Lonchura striata: one gene and its partner. The protein of the gene in region 2 purifies or fractionates together with the protein of the main gene of each other region. This does not show direct contact. Links are inferred from orthologs where the notes say so. Each region holds a gene or a part of one and is shown on either strand. Other genes may lie near its edges.

The links.
Region 1: the proteins of SLC7A11 (region 2) and CD44 purify together in Homo sapiens (affinity purification with western blotting; 3 studies listed by BioGRID and IntAct, with this or other methods). This does not show direct contact. The link is inferred for Lonchura striata from reciprocal best matches to the Homo sapiens genes SLC7A11 and CD44.

The regions. Positions count from the first base shown.
Region 1 is NC_134608.1:43,623,581-43,633,425, reverse strand, and holds the start of CD44 (CD44 antigen), read left to right. Parts: upstream 1-6,020; 5' UTR 6,021-6,132; coding exon 6,133-6,196; intron 6,197-9,845. UniProt on the Homo sapiens protein: Cell-surface receptor that plays a role in cell-cell interactions, cell adhesion and migration, helping them to sense and respond to changes in the tissue microenvironment.
Region 2 is NC_134606.1:73,942,268-73,952,202, reverse strand, and holds the start of SLC7A11 (cystine/glutamate transporter), read right to left. Parts: upstream 4,049-9,935; 5' UTR 4,018-4,048; coding exon 3,741-4,017; intron 1,166-3,740; coding exon 1,039-1,165; intron 1-1,038. UniProt on the Homo sapiens protein: Heterodimer with SLC3A2, that functions as an antiporter by mediating the exchange of extracellular anionic L-cystine and intracellular L-glutamate across the cellular plasma membrane.

The sequences.
Region 1 (9,845 bases), on a different chromosome or scaffold from region 2:
TTTCTGTGCCTCTGTCCCAGCCTCACATGAATCTCCTTCCTTCAGTCACCCAGAATTACCTTCCTTTGCTTGTTTACACTACAGAGAAGGGAACTTCCCTCAGAAGTCCAAGGATTTGCTACTTGACAATTCCAACATACATTATGTAGAGCTCAGAAATGAGGCTCCAAGGGGGGAAACTGGGAGGAGTTTCCTGCCTTGTGCATTCTCCATCCATGGAGGGGCACTTGGTTCCACCTGGACTTGAGACAGCTCCTTTGGCTCTCTGTTTTCCAGTTGAGCTCAGGGAGACAGCATTCCTGGCTTTGTCTGGGTATATCCAGGTGGAAAGGTTCAAACCTTAGGACATATGCAGCTGCTGCTGTTCCACCAATTCATTAAGTCTTGGCTATGTTCAACTTGCATAACTTACAGTGTTTAGGGGGAATGCTGGTTGCTGCTGATGTCTGCACATCCAACATGGGAAAAGGACTGTCCATTTGAGGAAGAAGATGCCACTGCTGGAGGAATTCCCTAAAAGTATACAAGTGCCAGGCTGCTTTGTGTGTATTTTCCCAGCGAGTTCAGCATTTCCAAACCTAGCACTGCTGTGCCTGTCAGCCTCCTCAGCCTGTTCACGCTATGATGTGTGCACACCTGCACCTTCCCTCCTAGAGCCACACTGGAAACAGCTGAAACTCTTGCCTCTGAAAACAAACATGCTTATTATGGTCTAAAATTAAGATGCTTTTCCTTCCCTTCCACCTTTCAAAGGAATCATAAAAGTGACTAACAAGGAGGCTACTGAAATTTAGTAAGTTTCTGTTTATATACAGATGGGCTCTGGTTTTACTGCTCTTTGTAACTGAAAAAGATAGGGTTAGCTGCTCATTCCCACACTGCTATGTTTAAGACACAGTCTAAATGTGGATATGTTGTGTGTGACTATGGCAAGAGTGGCACAAACATATCTAGTGTGAACAGAAACTGTTCCAGCTAAAATTCGGGGTTTACTTTCGTTAGATAGGAAAATATTTGGCTCTGGTCAGGCCTGTATTAGGCACAAGCGCCCCTAAGCATTTATCTATATATAACAGTTAACAGTTTGGTTATGCAAATATGAAGTGTTTCCTGAGTTTCCTGAATGTTTGCCTTTTGTAAGGCTCACCTGCTCTTCTGGAGCTTTAGATGTTTGATATAATAATTCCAATGTACTGTATGGAACAGAGAATGGATGAGAAAGAATGGGGGCTAAGAAAAAGGAGAAATTAGTGGACATGACAGACAGAAGTCAAGGTAGAAATCACAAAGCAAAATCAAGTAGAAGAAAATGGAAAGGCAGCAGGGACAAAAGAGTACATCCAGAAAGTAGCTTTGCATAAGCTCGATTCACCTCTTGTATAACTGCAAACAAAAGAAATAAAAGTGGGAATACAGAGCTGCATTCCCACTTTCGTTTATTTTGCTCGCGTGTATCCGTTCCAGCACTTCTTGCACGGTGTGTGCCAGCCAGGGGAAGGAGGGGCAGAGGCAGACAGCAGCCACCTGCAGAGAACGCGAGTGTTCTCCCCTCGCTTTCCCCGCACGCCCCACGCCCAGCCGCGCAGCTGCTGCTCACTCGGGCGGTCACGAAGCGCTCTGGTCTCTGCGGCGGGCTGGGACAGCTGGTGGCACTTTCCAGCTCCATCCCCAGCAGCAGCCGAGGGGGGACATGGCATTAGAGCTGTCCGTGGGGACCGGGGTGTGCTTTGCTGCACACGAGGGTCAGCCAGGGACTACGTGGCTGCGGTGGTGCTGCGGACAAGAAAGATGATGGGGCCGCGGACAAGAAAGATGATGGGGCCGCACGGGCTGGCAGGGCTCCTCACAGGCGGCTCGAGCCGTGCGGGCTGCGGAGGTTTCTGCCTGTCTCGGATTCAGGAGTTGTTTAGGGATCTGGGGCAAACCAGTAGAACAGGCTGATGAATCCACACGCTAGGTGCCAATCTGGGTTGCTGCTTTTTTTCGGGAGTAAACAACTAGGAGCCATTGTTCATCTTCCTAACTTTCTGCAGGACACAGGTTGTAAATTACATCCAGGAACAAAAGCTTGATGGGAGTAGAACCGGGCGCTCAACTTCCCAAGGGAGTGCTTTGCCCTCCAGCCAGAAGAGCAGCTTTTCTTGCTTAAACCAGCGCAGGCTCTTCTTAGGGCTTCCCATCAGCACTCAGAGCCCACGAAAAGTGTGCAGTTCAAGATTTGCCACACTGGAGCATTTACAACCGTTGCCATTACAAAGCCTGTTTTCAGGATTGATAATGAAAATTAAATCTACTCTGAAATTGAATCCAGTCTGAAATGCAGGAAACCAGATTGCAGTCTAGAGACATAGAGGAAATATTATTAAAAATAGCATATTTTATTGATATTACGGATAAGTGGGTATGAAATCCTCCCTGCTTCCCCAAATCTGATTTTCAGCCAGTCTCACAGATCACCCGTAGTCTACACAAAACATACACAGCCATGAGCAGAACTACCTAATGACATTTTGCTTTTTTTATATTCACTAAGACCAGTTGCTGTTCAGCTCCCCATAACAAGCTTGAAATATTCACCAAGTTATGCTCATAAACTTCTTTTTTTTATTTCAAAAAATAGTATTTCTGCTGATAATAGAAAAAAATTAAAATTAGGAGATCTGTTTCTTTAGAAATTTTAAGGCTTGAGAAGACAAATGCCACTATTTTCCAGAAACAGAATTCCGTTCTACTCTTCTTTCAATTTCTTCCATTCAATAGTGAAATCAATCTCCATTTCTACTCTTTTTTTTCCATCATAAGTACAGGTTCATTCAGGTACATCCATTTTCTTGTCTGTCCACAAAATAAAATCTAAATATTCATTCTAGGGAGAGGCTGTGTCACTGAGTTCAGTGGAATTTTGTTCTTTCAATTAAGCTAGGCCAGAATTTAATCCTCTATGTGAATTCCTGCAAAAAAAACCTACTTCTTATATAGTTGTAAGCTATGCATGTTACTTTTCTAGGACTCCAATATATGTACTTCCTAGTAGGAATTTTATCAAAATTAATTAGTGCTGGCTACAGTTCACATATGTGATAAAATCACAAATGAGTTATTTTGGTGTTCCTGTGCTATATTATACCATCACAGATTCAGTATTCGCAGTATCAAAGATGTCACAGAAAAACACTCTTTTAAATTCTAGGGTTTTATCCTTTTTCAGTCTTATTGTTTCATTTTCTTTTGAAAACTTAATTCATTAATCATTTTACAAAATTTTGGTGTCAGTAGTTTAGCTTCTTGTTGCCAAGGAAGTAAGCAAATTCCGGATCTCAGATATTTAGCAGTACTGACAGGCTCAAAAGGGATGCTCTGCTGCATTTTTTCAGCTGAAGATTTGCTTCAGGATTTTTCTGTTCCTATGTAATACGGTTTTCCCAAACTAAAGGAGAAGTTACGTATTTCTCACAAAGAAATCCCCCAAACAAAACCAAAACAAACCCTGAAAAACAAACCTCCAAACCCAACAGTTTCTCCAGAATTGTACATCTGCTTTGACTAAACCTTCTGGGCAGCATTTTGCCCTGCAGCCAGGCTAAATTTGGACTGCTGCTGGCTACCTGAGACCAACATAAGCTGACCATGTTTGTGTGGGAAAACAGGAAATTTTTTGTGCCATTTTTTTGGTGGAATGCACATGTGTGTTCTAGGCTGCCATGTAGGCAGGCTGATGGCACAAAGAATGGCCAAACTCACATGTCCCATACAAACAGCTCATTAATTGTTTTTGTGATTTATCACATGAAATGATGTAAAGTTATCAATTATTTTTCTTGTGTAGATCTATCTTTTCCTTTTGCATGAGGTACTAGCACCTCCATGCTGTGGTCTAAATGTGTCTAATCTTAGCCCAGTTTTTCAGGGCAACAACCCTGAGAGTCTTTCCAAAGCAGAATACCACCCACCCTTGCTGAACACATGCAGAAATTATTGAAAAGACTGAGATGAATAACAACTAATATTTTGGTATCTAGAAAACAACCTTTACATATTCAGTTGTCAGAAGGGCTATAGAATTAGAAACTTCACACCATGAAGAGACCAGGAATTTCCACTCCTAGTTATCTAAGATTCTGCCTCTATCCCTAAAATGGATGTTATTCTCCCTTTACCTGTACCAAAGAAAACTTTTATTTTTTTTTTAATTCTGTATCATTATAAATACAGGATATTAATGGAGAGTCATTTTATGTTCATAAAAAATAGGACTCAAAATTTCCTAAATTTAAATGAAATGTTTAACTATTCTGTTTCATCCATAGGACATGAGTTTTAAAAGTAACTTAGCAGTTGAAGAAAAAGATATACTTAGTAAATTTAAAGCATTTGTTAACTGTGTGCCAGCATTTTGAAATCCCACTAATCTTTATTCATGGATTTTGATGCCAAAACATTTACAGATATAAATACACAGGATTTTACAGAACTATTTATCTTTCCACTTTAGACAATAACGTATATAGGAGATTGCTTTCTAATTGGTTTTAAAGCCATTTCTTTAAAAAAATAAAAATAGCATATTAACTAAAGAAAAGGTGTTTTATCCATAATTTCAAAGTTGCTAGCTTCATAATAAAAATATACCCTGTGTTTAAAGGAAAAATTTTTACTTTAACTTTGTCCCATCAGATATTCTAGACCTGTAGGAAAAGCCTGTTGGAACCTGTTGCTAAAAATTTGCCTGGTTGAGGAAAGGATAGCCAGCCATCTCTAAGTCAAAAGGCAAAACAAAGGCAAAGTCCTGAAAACCTCTTTATGTGACCTTCTTCTGCTTGTGGCTGGAGATACTTGTCTGTATTTTTCCACTGTTTGTGTTAACAGAGATTAAATTAATGAGAAACTTCTTTCAAGTGGGGAGATCAACAAAATGGTAATCTGATATAGGACTATTCAATCCAGATTTGGCAAGGGAAGCTGAAATCCAGGCATTTATGGCTGTTAAAGGTGAGAAGTGCTGGCTTTGGTGATCCCTGACCAACCCCTCATCCCAGGGCACAGGAACCACTGTTCCAATTCTTCAGCTCTAAGAGAAGCCAGTGCATGGAGCCACCACAGGAAATCTCCAAGGCACACAAGAGACAAGAGACAAGCCTTTTGCTTATCTACAGAGGCTTTGGGGTTTTCGCCAGAGGTTTCATGAAGAGCCAAACAAAACCACACACTGCAATGAACATATGTCCCTCAGGAACTGAGACCTTGTTTGAACCTCAAAAATCTCGTAACTTTTCATCCTGCTTCTCTGCTTTCTGAATTGGGAATAGGAGGAAAAATTCCTTCTGTACCTTATTCCATCAATAGAATAAATATCAGCCTTAGTGCTCAGCATCACTCACTTCTGGCACTGGCATTATTCACTACTTTTTGTTCATTCATTTCTCTTCTTGGAGCAGCGTGTGCAGGGACACCAAGGGTAGAACGGGCTGTGGGAAACTGAACAGCCTCAACTTACCTTCTGCATGATGTTATCCTCCAGCAGTGAACAAAAACATTGCAGAAAGCTTCACTGCAGAGCAGGCATTTTACTTGCTCTTAATAGAACCGCACAAAGAGAAAATGGCAAGATAGGAATAAATAAGCAAAATGTTTTTGGAAAATATCTAGGCTGATAAGATGCTTTACCAGGGTTTAGAAACTCGAATGCTTTTATGTTCACTTGGTTTGCAATAATGAAGAGATTTTAAAATGCAGGATGAAATGCTTATAACAAACAGTGCATTTCTGAGAGAACTCAGGAGAGATGACACAAATTTTCCTACAAGCACACTAAGTATAACTTTTGACTAGCCTAGTGTAAGAAGAGAAGGTTTAGTGGCTCTTTAAAACTCAAGTGTGCCTGCTTAGTCAGTCCTAGCTCTCCTTCCACTCCCCCTTCTTCTGCTGCTGGGTAACTTTTGTTGCAATATGGGTGTGACTTTTGATGGAGCTTCCCCCTCCCAGTTATGTCATTACTTCAGTTCCTTTGAATCAGAATAAAAAGTGCAGCAAACTTCAGACTCATTGACTGCAGGCTTAACAAGCGTTGGTGCTTTCCTTCCTTCTGCAGCTTGCAAGGATCTTTGGATTTTGCAAAACAGTTCTAAGAAAACAATGGCCAACTTCTTACGGACAATTTTTGGATTATTTTTGCTGAAGCTCTGTCTAGCAGAAACAGGTAAGATTTTTATGAATGAAAACTCTTATGATTGTTAAGTTAATGCTTCAGACAGCAAGTGTGCTTCTGCTAGATAGCTAACAGCTTTCTTGCATCTATAAACTTTACTTATTTCAAGTGTTATCAGAGATGTTTTAGAAGTGTAATCTCAGTTGTGCTGGTCTGTACAAGCACGGAAAGCTGCGTATTGCTTGTAAAGGGCAATTCCAAATATGTAAAAACTGAATTGTAGAACATTAAAGAACGAAGTTTAAATTAGGAACAGAACTCCATCAGGGAATTCGGAATGGCTCTGGTAAAGCTCAGTTTGACAATGTGACTGCTGTTCCACACGCAGTTTTTTCTCCCAGCTCCTCTTCGGACGGCAGCGAAAAGGGGGCGGAAGGAAGGGGGTGAGCCCCCACCCCCCATCCAGTTTACAGCTGCATTCTGGAGTTTACATGAGCTGAACCAACAGCTGAAACAAGCTGCATTTGGGCACAGCCTTGCTGAACAGGAGAAAAACTGCAGGGAGCTCTGCTGAAATTTGGAGAGCTTTTATGCCAAGCATGCTTGCTTCTGACTTTCTAAGGTCTCTGTGGGGCTGACTGATGAGCTTTTGGAACAAAGGGGGTTAGAAGGGACAAAGTTCAGCTGTTTATCACTTACCTTCCTGTAGCTTGGTTATCTGCTTCAAATATTTGTATTTAAGTATCTAAGGTTAATACAGAGAAAAAAATAAAAAAATTATGTCCAAAGTGACAAAAAGCTTTTGAAATTTTACATGGTGTAGGCTCAACCATGTTTTAGGGGAATGACCATACTTTTAGCAGACTCTCACTGTGACTGTAACTGCCTCGAGGCATTTTGTGGTTGGGGATAACAGTTGTGCTTCTGTATTGTTTTTGTACTCATCAGTTTCAGGAGTCTAACAAAATGCATTTTTCATGACCATCGTCACCCAGGGCCGTGTGCGTGTCTGTGTATGTACAGTAAATATGTGTCTCATTTGCTTGAGCAGCAGGGGATACTTCTGTTAATGGTTGCAGCGCTGCCAGGCTGTGAATGGGTGTGTCAGAGGGAGCAAGTTCCCAGTGCTTCTGTGATAGCTGAAGCAGCCTCATAGCTTTTCTTCCTAAAATTGTGTGTCCATTGTATCAAAATGCTCTTGCTAAGATGAGGTTTATAGGCAAAGTCTTAAGAGCAAGGACAGGGCTGCTCTAGGCAAGTAAAGTATGTCTAAGATAAGTTTAAATCCTTGGCTTGGTCCACGTCTGTGCACTGTGTAAATAACTGCTTGACTGATTTTTACTTCTATGAGCTGCCTGAAGTGTCCTAGAGAGCAGGGTCTGCACTGACTCTGGGAGTAATGTGTTTTTACAGTGAGACAGAAAGCCCCATTATTGAGCCATCAGTGTAGTTACAAAAAGTGTGTCAAGCTCCACATATGCCCTCCAGGGAAGTTTCTTTACTGGCTTAGTAAGGTACTAGAATATAGCTACAGTATATTTAAGTTGGTATACAGTACATTCCAGCATGACTTTTTAGTCAGTAATTATTTCAAAACAGCAGTTGATGGTGGTGTTTTCTATTTTTAGCCAGTGATTTTGCTGTGTATCACAGACTAATGGCTATTGATGCTGGGAAACTCCTGAACTGGAATTTTGATTCTTTTAGTACAGAATTGTACAGAATTAAAAAGGACCTGGAATTACTGTTAATGTGATTTCAGAAGGAAAAATGAGATACAGAGAAAGCTGGAAAACTTACTCATCCTGATTTCTGTGCTGTTGTGACTATACTGTCACTGATATGTTTCTTACTCATAGTGTTGACATGACTTGTTTAAGGAGTCTGGATCCCAGAGAATATAGATGCTGACATCTTGGTTAATGATGTTTTGCAGGAGATTTTCTCCTGCAAACATTATGTATTTGTAGAAATATTTTTCTTAAAGTTTTCCTTGATTAATACAAATCCTAGAATTTTGACCCCCAAACTGGAAGGGGTGGGGCGCAAGAGAAGAGAAGTAGTAGTGGTAAGCATGAAATGGAAAGAGGGACAATGAGTCTGCCTGTGGGAGGAAGGAGCTTACCTGTTAGCACTGGAGAGGTTGCCAGAGCCCATTCCAAGGTAATGCTGTGAGACAGGGCTCCTGCAGCTGCTGGTCAGTCACAGAGGAAGAGACCTGCCTGCCCCTTGGTTTACATATCTATCATGTAAATTTGTAAATAAAGTAGTTTGAAGAAGCTCTTTGTGCTAGTTTATTTTCACTCGGTCCTTGCAGTGTCTATCTTGGCAGTTTCCCAAAGCTATAAAGTAAGGAGACTTTATTAAGAGTTCACTTGAACGTTCCATCATTGTTTAGTGGAAGGGTTATGGAGCTGTCCTGGAAACACTCGCACACGCAGAGCCAACAAAGCATGGTGGGGGATTGTTTTCGAGAATTTGGAGAAATGTTTGAAGATTCTTTAGGTACTGGTGTTCACCACAATGAAGAGCCATTACCTTGAAAATAGGAAGTCGGAGAAAGGCTTAATGAGGACAGATAGCATCGGACAATTGAGGAAGAACTTTTTAAAGTAAATGCTTTTAAAACCACTGATAGCTCTAGCCAAAGTTAAACAAAATGTTCATTCATATGTGGTGTATCTTTCTTTCCAGAAGAGTTCCCATTACTTTTATAGGTCTGAATTGAAGATAGTGTGAATATTGCAGTTATTCATCTATCACCTAAACATGCATGAGGTTTGACTGTATCAAGAATGTGCCAGGAGCCAGAGACATCATGACATGCTGTGATAGACAGATACACACCAAAGAGAATCATGAGCTCATTACGCCTAAAATACTTGTTGAAAAAAATGTGATAATATTTGATAATACTAGTTCTTAATGTAGTTGACTGATAGTAAAACACCTTGTAGAAGAGCAGAGAAAAAGCAATGTAGAGTTCCTTTATAAGGAGCAGATAAATCAGTCAAAGAATTTAAAAGTTTTTTGGTGTTCCAAAGCTGTAAAAAGGTTACTCCATCTGCTTTCTGGTCTTCTTGCATCATGTTTTTGTTCCAGAACTAAGGGGTAAGTGTTTGAAAATACAGTCAATATGTAAGATGATCATTCTTCCCTTCATATATCACTGTTTGGTCTTTATTTTCAAGAGAATACTATGTAAGAGAGCAAGGGAAGGAGTTCTGCAAAACTCGTCTCTAAAATTGGTCTTTCAGGACCAAGGCTAAATGTATGTAATTATCTGTGAACTATAACTTCATAGAGAGGATAATTGTGAAACAAACATGACCCATCACAGTAATCTTGCCTACTTTGAAAACAATGCAACATTGCACTGGAACAATTAATTGTGTTCAAAACACATCATATTTTAGAATCAGCTGGCATCTGGCAGTGTGCTGATTCAATTTGTCAGCATTAAGCTGAATTCTGAAAATAGAGAGATGGAAACTTACAACTTGCTAGCAAGTAGAACACATCCACAGCCTAGTTTGTTCTTTGCCTTTACCTGTCAGGGTTTCTGTGTGATAAACCTGGTGGTTTGGACCATTCTCTGCGTGTTATCCACGACTGTGGGCGGGAAGCCAGTTTGGTGTAGCTGCTGGTCATTTTCCAGGAGTCCATCATCTCTTAACAGACAGTCATCTCTCCCTCCCAG
Region 2 (9,935 bases):
CATATTGGTGGGGAGGTCGTGCTGGACAACCTGAAATGGAAAAATTATTTCCTCTGGAAACAACACAAGGATTTATGGATTCATAATGACTCAGCACCGTCAGCACTTTTAAAGTCAAGGTGTCTGCTAGGACTTGTCAGTGTTATGTAAACGTAGTTGTGGTTTGAAGCCTTGCTTGTGCCTCATTTGTGACTAATCTGCTGATTGCGGAAGAGGGGAAAGAAGCGCCTAAGGCAGGGGCATGGAGCATTCCCAAAGTCATTTTGAATTCCAAGTTGCCCTGTTCTATGTGTTTCAAGATCTCCAAACTCAGAAAAAGCCTAAAAACAAAAGAGAAGCTACACGTGGGTTTGATGCGTTGATCCGTTTACATTATGAAAGCTTATTTTATATGATTCAGCATCTTTGTATTGTAATGTCAAAGGCTGCATGAGTCGCAGGCTTGCACACCAATGCAATATATTTGGACATTTTAGGTATGTGAAGACAGTGTTTCTTTATTTGGTCAGTTAGTGTTTTCCAAAGTAAGAGTCACGTTCTCCAACACTCCACAAAAAAACCCAAAAAAATCAGGGCCCAATCTGACATCAAAAGCATACATGGTGCCCCTAACTCTGAAAAACTACTGGACAATAATTTCACCAGGAGTTATCCTTGTATCCATAGACAACAGTAATTGCTCCAGAAGGTAGTGCCAAGACTGAAAAAAGGTAAAGGTGACTTCTGTCTTTCATTCTACCATATCTAGGTATAGCTAACAACATTATTAATGACTTCAATGGACATAGTAAGCTTAGCAAAACTAAGGCAATTTATTGAATTTTTGTGGTAGATTTCTTATTTCCCCATGTATGTAAACATGTCTCCTTGAACATTTCAAAGCTGATGAGCAGAACAGCATTTTTAAACTCTCTGAAGCAATCATAGTGGAAGAACACAGTTAACTGACCAAAATATATTTGATTTTTTTTTTTCTGCCCAACATATATCAGAGATTTTTCTTTATGACTGACAAGTGCAGAGTCATGACACACTTACCGAATGATGAGTAGTTCCACCCAGACCCTCACAAATGCAGGTAATGGGCCAAAGGCCTCCAGGATATAGGTGTAGTGACCACCAGATTTCTTAATGCACGTCCCTAGTTCAGCATAGCAGAGGGCACCTGTGAGAATTCAATAACACCAACATGAGAGATATCCAGAAATATATATCAAAATATATAGCCTAAACTATAGAGCTGTCATGGTATCACTACTACTTTTAATATTTTTTTTTCCAATTAATTTTCTACACTTTAATTCAATCAGCCAGACATGCAGTAAACCAAACTATTTATCTAGTTATATTTAAAGCCACTGGACGAGCTATTTGCAATTACTACTCAATATCTTGTGAAGAGGGACAACAAATTGGGGTTTCACACCAGCCACCCTACTTCCCAGGCAGCACCACTAAATGAAAGATTTCTGACATCTTTGCCTGTTATCAAAGGCTGATCTACTCCTTTCAGCCTTAGAGATGCCTGGCTCAATCTCTGAAATTGTATCACCTCTCCTCAACCATAGTCAAAAGCAAACAAATGGCCAAAATTTGGAAGAAGGATCTGCAGAATAAGAATTCTCCTCAACGGTACTCCTAACATCTTCCATACAAAACTCAGGGGATGGCTTAGTGGCAGCTTTTCAAAACTGGTGGATTGTTTTGTGTCCTGCAAATGCAGCGAAAGGTCAGGAACCATCACTGAGTTACAAAGCCAGGGATTCACAGCTCCACAGGTGGAACACATCAATAGTGCTCCACAACCAACAAACAGAGGCAGCCCTCTTGGAAGACTCTGAGAAGCCAGTAATAATCAGGAATAAAGTTTGTTAGCAATGAATCACACATGAACTCATTTCAGCTCTCTTCCCTGCATGCCTCTACGCTGCAGCACTTTTAGATAAAAACTACAACTTATCAAAACCACATCACCTGTACAAGCCCATCAAAGCTGTAGCACATGATGACAAATTCTCCAGCCTTGTTCATTTCTTTTGTTCGGGACATTGCAAAAATGTGGCAACTTTTATCTGCTTTTCTTTAACATACCTGAAGATGTGTTTAAAGGAATCCTTACAGCCACATTAAAAAAAAGGTGTTTTGGCATTTTCTTTTGCCAGCCTCTTCTGTTGAGGTTCAGGATGAAATGAAATTGTGTTTTAATATATGTTATAAACACAGCCTCGGCAAGATCTTATGTGACCTCTTTGTGTGATTTAACTATAACTGAGTCATGAAGAGAACTAAAAATCAAAATATTACCAAAAAAATAACAACCAAAAAACAAACAAACTGTAACAGGCCCATTGTGAGAACAAGATATTATCCTTGGCTGTGCCAAATTACACAGTTCTTCGTATCTAGATGTCTGGAAAGGGACCTAAAAATCTGATAAAAGAGAATGGGTTTTTTTTATTTTGATTTGGTTTTTTGTGGGGTTGGGGTTTCTTTTCTTTTTTTTTTTGGTACACACTTTATTTCACAGCCAGAAGATTACTACTACTTAAGTTATAGCCATAAATGCAGTGCTTAAGCAAATTCTGGGTTAAGTAACTCAAATGACCAAGGTCTTTTGACAGGGTTACGAATTGGATCTGAGGTTTTTCTTGCTTAGAGAAAGGAGGAGAATTTTATTGCAGGCAGATCTTCCACATTTGTACAAGAGATTATGCTGCACATTGTACCCATACATTTATCATTTGACCCAAATGGGTCCCAGCTAACTCGACTGTTTGTTTGGCCTGGATGGGTTTAGCCTGTAAAGAATATTTCTTTTAAGCTCAGCACCAATTTACAAGGTGGCATTTGCATGTTCCACCTATTAAGTAGACACTTAGTCCCTCTTTGTCCTCTTCACCTCCTGCCAGTAAACAAGCAGTTTCCCTTTTAAATAAAGCCAATATTCATGTTAGTTCTTCAGTTTCTTTGAGATTAACTCATTAAATAGGTCAATGAGCCCTCTGTCCCACGGAGGCCAGGGTGGGGTTTTCCACTCTGAATGAGGGTTTTGTGTACAGAACAACTTAACTGGACTTCTCCAGAATTCAACACTCTTCAAGAATAAAAAGAATTAACAAAAACTGCCACAATAAGCAGTAATAAAACTCCCAGGACAGATTTGCTTCCATCACACTGGTTTTTTTGTAGCCCAATCTTTCAAAGCAACATCACAGGTGAGGAAGGAAGGGCTGGGAAGAGGGGTTATTAGTATTATTGTTTTGCTCCCCTTCATGCAATACAGCTTACATACAGTAGGAATTATTCCTCTCAGACCTTGCTCTAGCCTCTGGGGAACTAGGCTGAGCTGTCTAAACATTTCAGTGGTGATCTAGCAGCGTGCTCATCCAGCTGCCAGGGCTTCACATGCAAACCATAAATACATCTTACAGGAGAAAAACATACAGCACATTCTATAGGGGAAAAAAATGCTCGTTTGGTTTTTCTGTTCCTTTAGGGACTCATTAAAAAAAAAAAAAAAAGTGCTTCCAGCTTTCACCAGCTGGTGCTGGGAGCAGAGGGACAGAGGTTGAAATTTTTGCACCCTCCACAAATCCATCGCGAAGCACAGACCTTCTGTAGTCCCATTGGCGCTCAAGCTCTGCACTCTCACTTCCTATCCAATAGTAAAATCAGAGAAATAATCACAATAATTCGCCGGCTGCCCCTCTAGACCAATTAGAAACTTTTCAGGGACTTACCAAAAAGCGAGAGGATACCACACACTGTCCAGACAGTCAAGGACATGCCCACGCTGCCTGTGTTCTTCAGGATGCCTTTGGGAGAGATGAAGATGCCAGCTCCAATGATAGTGCCAATTATGATGGATATCCCCCTCAAAAGCGTCACTTTCTTCTTCAGCACAACTTTTCCCTCCCGGGCTGGCTGTCCACTGTCCATAGAGGACAACTTGCCATTAGCTCGTCCCTGCAAGTAGCTTCCATTAGAGACCGTGGGCACAGCAGCTTTCCTGAACATGCTACAGTGCCACCAGCACGCTGCTGGCAAGCACAGGCAGAAAAGTTTTCAGCAGAAACTGAAGGTTTGTTTTGTTTTTTTTTTTTTCCCCTCTCTGTGTAGCCAACTACTTTGTCTCTTCCTCTGTTTTCTTTTATCTCTCCAGCTGCTCCTACACACAGGTAACAAGTTCTTCAAGAGTAGGTGAGCCCTTCCTGTGATCCCAGCCCAGCACAGGAACACCTGCGTCTCCACACCGTGGTACTGCCCTATCATTGGAAACCAGCTCAGCTTCCGCATGGACTTGTATTTAAGCTCTTGTCATACCAAGTTACTCCAGCTGAATGATGATGCAAATTCTCCAGGTTTGCATCAGCCATTTGAGAAACCTCTGGCATTACTCAGCATTTCTTTTTTTTTTTTTTTTCCTTCCTCTTCTTTTTTTGGTTGTTGGGGTTTTTTTTCTTTCCTCCTTTTTTTTTTTTTTTTTTTTCTCATTTTTAAACTGTAGGGGCATGTTGTGCAGCTGACCTGGGGGTGGTGAGAAGAACAAAGCACTCGCCAGCAACTCGAGCCAAACCTCCCCAATCAATGCAAGCCTATCACCCAAGACACGCTCCCAATTTTTTTAAAAGCAGCTCAGAGCCAGAAACAAAAGCCTGCCTAAACACAAAGCTCGTCAGAGCACGAGGAAAAGAAATCAAACAAGATACGTCATCCCTGGGTCTAATCCAATTTCATTCTCGAAAAACTCCCAACAAAAGTTCCGTTTGCGGGGGCTGAACTTTCAGCGCCGCGGTTGATCCGCCTCTCCCACGACTATATTATTAATTTGGAAATCTCTGTAGGGACCAGAAAGGATCCATACAGCCCCGGTGTTACCCCGAGTTACTCAGCTTATTTCCATGGAAAAGGCATTTTCTTAGGGGCAGCTCTTTTTCCGGGATGCCGGGAGCCAGCCCCGCATCACTTTTTGTTAAAATGCGCCGCAAAAGTTCGCAGCCACCTCCCGTGTGTGACCGGGCAGGAGCAGGGCACCACCCCAGAGCACAGCATCTCCAACAGCTCAGGAGTCAGAATGGCTTTTTTGTGTCGTCCCCGATAACACAAAAATCCGCAGAGCTCCTCTGACCAGATAAACAGGTGATCGGATGCATAAATACATTTGCTTGGCACGATCATTCAAATTCAAACTGAGCAATTGAGGTGCTTTCTCCTAAAACGGAGCAAAAATCAATAGCCTCCAAGCATTTTTTGACCTAATCAAGGGACAGCCTTTATAACATATGCCAAAGGGGGAAAATTCTTAGCGGTATAACTATTGCAGCTGCTAATAGTTCCAGATTAGATCAGCGTAGTGAGAGGTTATTGCTACAGTTACTGCTCTTACAGGTATTGCTTAATTAGTACCTAGGTTTGGGAGTAAAAAGAAGATCAGTTAAACCATTTTATCCTTCAAAAAGAAGGCACTGAGCTCAGAGCACAAATGTGCTTTCAAATTTATGTGAGAAAGAAGAAATACTGGACTAGCGACATGCTGCAGCTGTCAAACTTGAGTGTTTTTAAAGCCTCATATTTTCAGCTATAACTCACCTGTAACAGTTAGCACTGAGATGAAAGAAGGCAGAAAAGAAAGCTTATCTGGTTTAAATGCACACAGGTAAAAAAACCAAGTGATTGCAGCTTCTGGCTGCATGACAGTCAAGTAGTGCTTGTCTGGTTTTCTGAACATATCCTACTTGTGCTTCCAGCCGCTGATGTGCTCAGTGGCTGATCCCTCACTTGGCAGCTGATCCCACATGTGACTGCACAGGCTGATTGCAGACAGGACCTTCCCTGTCACCCCACAGTCCCAACCCAGCCAATTCCCGTGGCACTAGTGACAAGCCAAGCCAGGACTCGGTGGCGTGTTGTGCCAAGATGTTTTCTCTGGCTGCACGTTCCACAGGCTGCCCCCCAATAGGATTAGGCAACTGGATCAAATCAAACCAGCAAAAAGCATTAACCAGAGAACTGAGTTGGGCTGGTGACCTTTATTTTAATTTTCAAAGGCTTTTTAATGAAGAAGCGCATGACATCTTCAAACATCTGATACTTTAAGGTAGACATTCTTAACTAATGTCTTTATTTGCACAGGAAGTTGGTTCCAAGATCAAACCAAAGGCTCAATAGCCAGACAACCCCGAGGCAGCTCCCAGCAAGCCAGTTGTCTGTAACAACCATCCAGTACAAATCCTGGGCACTATAATGGCTTTCAAATAGCATTTGATTACTAGCCAGAAGAATCCATGTTTCCCCTTTGGGCATAGCAATTAACACTCTCCCACGCAGGGAAAAGGGTGCTTGTTCCTTCAGTGGTGTGGGGATAGCACACAGGCAAAGCTTAGGGCTTTGTGTCATTCCCAGGGAAATTTATAAGGTAGGACCAGAAGAAGGCTGGTTGCAGAAAACTCCTTTTCCTAACTTCTGGCAGCTTGCTGGAGATCTCATTATTTGTAGCCTTCCCAGGGAGTATGTTTGTTTACTTATTCTTCACAGCTTCTCAATGCTATCCACTAAAAATAAGAAAAATGGGAGCTTTTCTCCTTTGAGTTCCAGCCTTACTTCCAATTATTAGTTCCACTCAGGATAAGGAATACTTATTTGGTGTTGGGGGATTTTTCGTTATATTCTGGGAATTTCATGAGAATTATCCATCAACTGAGCTCAGTCCTGAGGAGGTCATGAAGCTGGAAGAGGGTCATAACTGTCTGCTGAACCCACTTAAACTATACTCACAACATCTCTTCTTATTATTTGTATCTCACAGCCACTTTTACTTCAATTATTCATCACAGAGAGAGGACCACTATGCAAACACAACAAAAAATGCTCAGTGTCTTTTCAAAGAGCTTTTGTGAAAGCACAGGGCTTAACCTGTCCAACACTCAGAACAACCCCATTCTTCCATAAAAACTCACTATAAAAGCAGAACAAAAATGTAAAAGGTGCAATTTTCTTTAGACTGATGACATTATTTGAAGCCATGTTTCTAAAAAATATGTTCTGAAAATAAACCTTCAACCTCTAATAGCATCTGGCATTGTGCATAGCCTTTTTATTGTTTCTCTCTGGTTATTTTTTTTTTTTCCAACCCATAGACATTTTCTCCTGAACAAACATTTTAGAGCACAACTGAGATCATCGCTGTGAAAGTTCCCTTTTGAATCTCACCACCAGCCCTGATCAATCTATCCACTGGCTGTTCCAAACAAAAAATCCTTACCAGAAAAGCCTACAAATCCTACACCTACACCCTGCAAAGAGCTAAAGCATCAGGCAGAAGATTCAGCAGCCCAGGCTGGTTGCCTGAATGCCATCAGTGGCCTCTCCTGGCCAGCTGCATCTCTCTTGTCAGGGTTTGAGCATCACAGGGAATAACAATACCTCAGGCTGAACACACCTAATAGGGTGTTACCCCTGCCTATCACACTAACAGAGTTTTTGCCAGCATCTGGACACAGCTGTATCTTTCCAAAGAAGCAACAGTTCTGGCATTTCCCCTGGGGAATGCTACAAAATACACATTTTGAACTAAAGCATTCAACTTTATGGTAATGCCGCAACGAATGCAGCAAAGTGGAGAACCTAAAGTCCAATCCTGACCTTGAGTTCCCAATTCTCAAGCCCACAAAAACTCCATAATTTCTAGATGTAGAGAGCATACCTTGACAACGTTTCCAGGCATTTGGCTATCAGCTTATTGCATCAAACAAATCCAAAGAGTCACGAGTCAAGCCTCCAGCCACAGGTTGCCATGCTGACTGGAGACACAGAAATAAAAGAGGAAGTTCAGCAAGACTGAAGAGGCGAGGAAAGCCCCAGACTATTACACGTGGGTGGCATGGCATGAAAAATGTTGTTTAGAAAACTGATCTGAGTCTTCTGTGTATAATGCCAAGTTGTTTGTGAGCTTCAGAAAGCAGCCCTGCAGAAAGGCACTAGTCTGGTTTCAAATGTCAAAGGATGACAAAATACCTAAAAGTATTTGTTTCATGTAGATAATCTAACACTGAGTAGTTTTGACTGGGGATTTCAGCTCCTATTTTAGTGTTGAGAAGTTTAGCTAGTACTGGGGGGAAAAAATCCATAAGCATTTAAAAAATAAGGTGTCATTGAGAATATGAAATAACTAAAATCTCAGACTACTGGGACAGTTTTTAAAGTTTTAATACAAACATAGTACTGTGAGAATATCAAAATACTTTGTTATCTCTAATACAGGCCAAATCTTTAGTTTAAAATGGAACTACTGAGAATGTTGGGGGGTTTGTTATTTTGTAGTCAGAGTCTAACAAATTCCTCAATTCTTTTGCATTCCACTTTGTGCTGGATACAAACATATTTTGCAGCGAAAGAAAAAATGAGAAGGAATGAAAGACACATGCAGCTCACAGATTTTAAAAATAAGATAAAACCACTATAAGAAATCCAAAAGCAATTCAAATATTTTTTTTTTCTTGTATTCTCAGTCAAAACCTTCCTACAAAATGCAGGAAGCAAATAAAAATCTGATCTCAAGAAGACTGCAAGCAAGAGCAGTTTAGAAGGCAAATGCTTCTGAAAGTTTCCCTGTCTTCAATTTGCTGATAGCTGCCAGTCAATTTTCAGCTTGAAAAGAAGGAAAGAAAAAGGGATTTCAGAAATCTCTCAATTTTTCTCACTATTAAAGCTCTATTTCAAAAGACATGATGAATTTAGCTGAATGGTTTGACAGTTTAATGGGTCTTTTTTAAGCAGACAGGAATCATTAGCACCTTGCATCAAGCATGAAAGCTCCACATGAGAGAAAGCCAATTCTCACTGAAGCCCTGTGGATGTGAAAATATGAGTGTGTTTTATACCAATCCATTTTTCATATTCAGGCTATATCTTATCAAAATCTAAGCAATGCTGTACATAGATATTATTTTTGAGTTTCTCTGTGTTTGTATTTCCAATTAGCAGAATGAGACAATAATTTTCAGAGTCCCCATGTTATTTTTCCTCAGCTTTTGGATGCACACACTGGCACTCAGGAAATCAAGACCTCAGGGTAAATTTCCATTAAAAATGCATGTGCCAGATACCTAGCATGATGGCAAGATTGCTGGCAGCTTCAGAGAGTCGGGATTTTATTTCAGATGACTCAGGCTAGGCTGGGCATGTGAAGAGAATTAATTGGTACTTCAGAAAAAACAAATCTTTGAAAAACCCAGATAAAGACAGAATTAGCAGTGAGAATGTTTTCTAACCCATTTCCCCGTTTTTTGTGGGAGAATTCTTCACAGTAAATAAAAGTTTGTAATGTGAAGAAAACCTACAACAACTGCATAGATTGTCAAGTTTAACCTTGGCTCTTTAGCAAGTCCATATTCACTTTTATAATATTTTTCATACAATTCATACAGTATCATTTTCCATTTGCATTACTCTATTTGATTAGATGTTGAACTTTCTGTGAATTATGGTTTTATGCTAAAAATAATATTTTTCTTTTTTATTAAAGGGTTAATGATACTTATTCACAGGTATGACAGCTGCTGAATTCTGTTCTGAGAAGAATCTATACAAAATCTTGGAGAGGAGAATTCAAGAACTTAAACAGTGTTTTAATTTACTGACCAGTAAGTGTGGAAATCTTTCAGATCCCAATTCCTTAATTCCACCCTAACAGAAAGTCACTTGTCTATCCCACCAGACTGGGCAAGCTCATTCCCCTTCTGCTGCATACAATTTAGACTAGATAGAGAATATATACAAAGTTACTTGATTTTTCTTTAGAAGAAAACTACTCTCTTACCTTAGAATAATTGTGATGGGAATTGTAGGTCCCATTTTGTTCTCATTCCTGTATCAATTGTCGTATGTAGCAATACTCAATTTTTTTCCCATTAGGTCCATTTAATGTAGATTTTTGT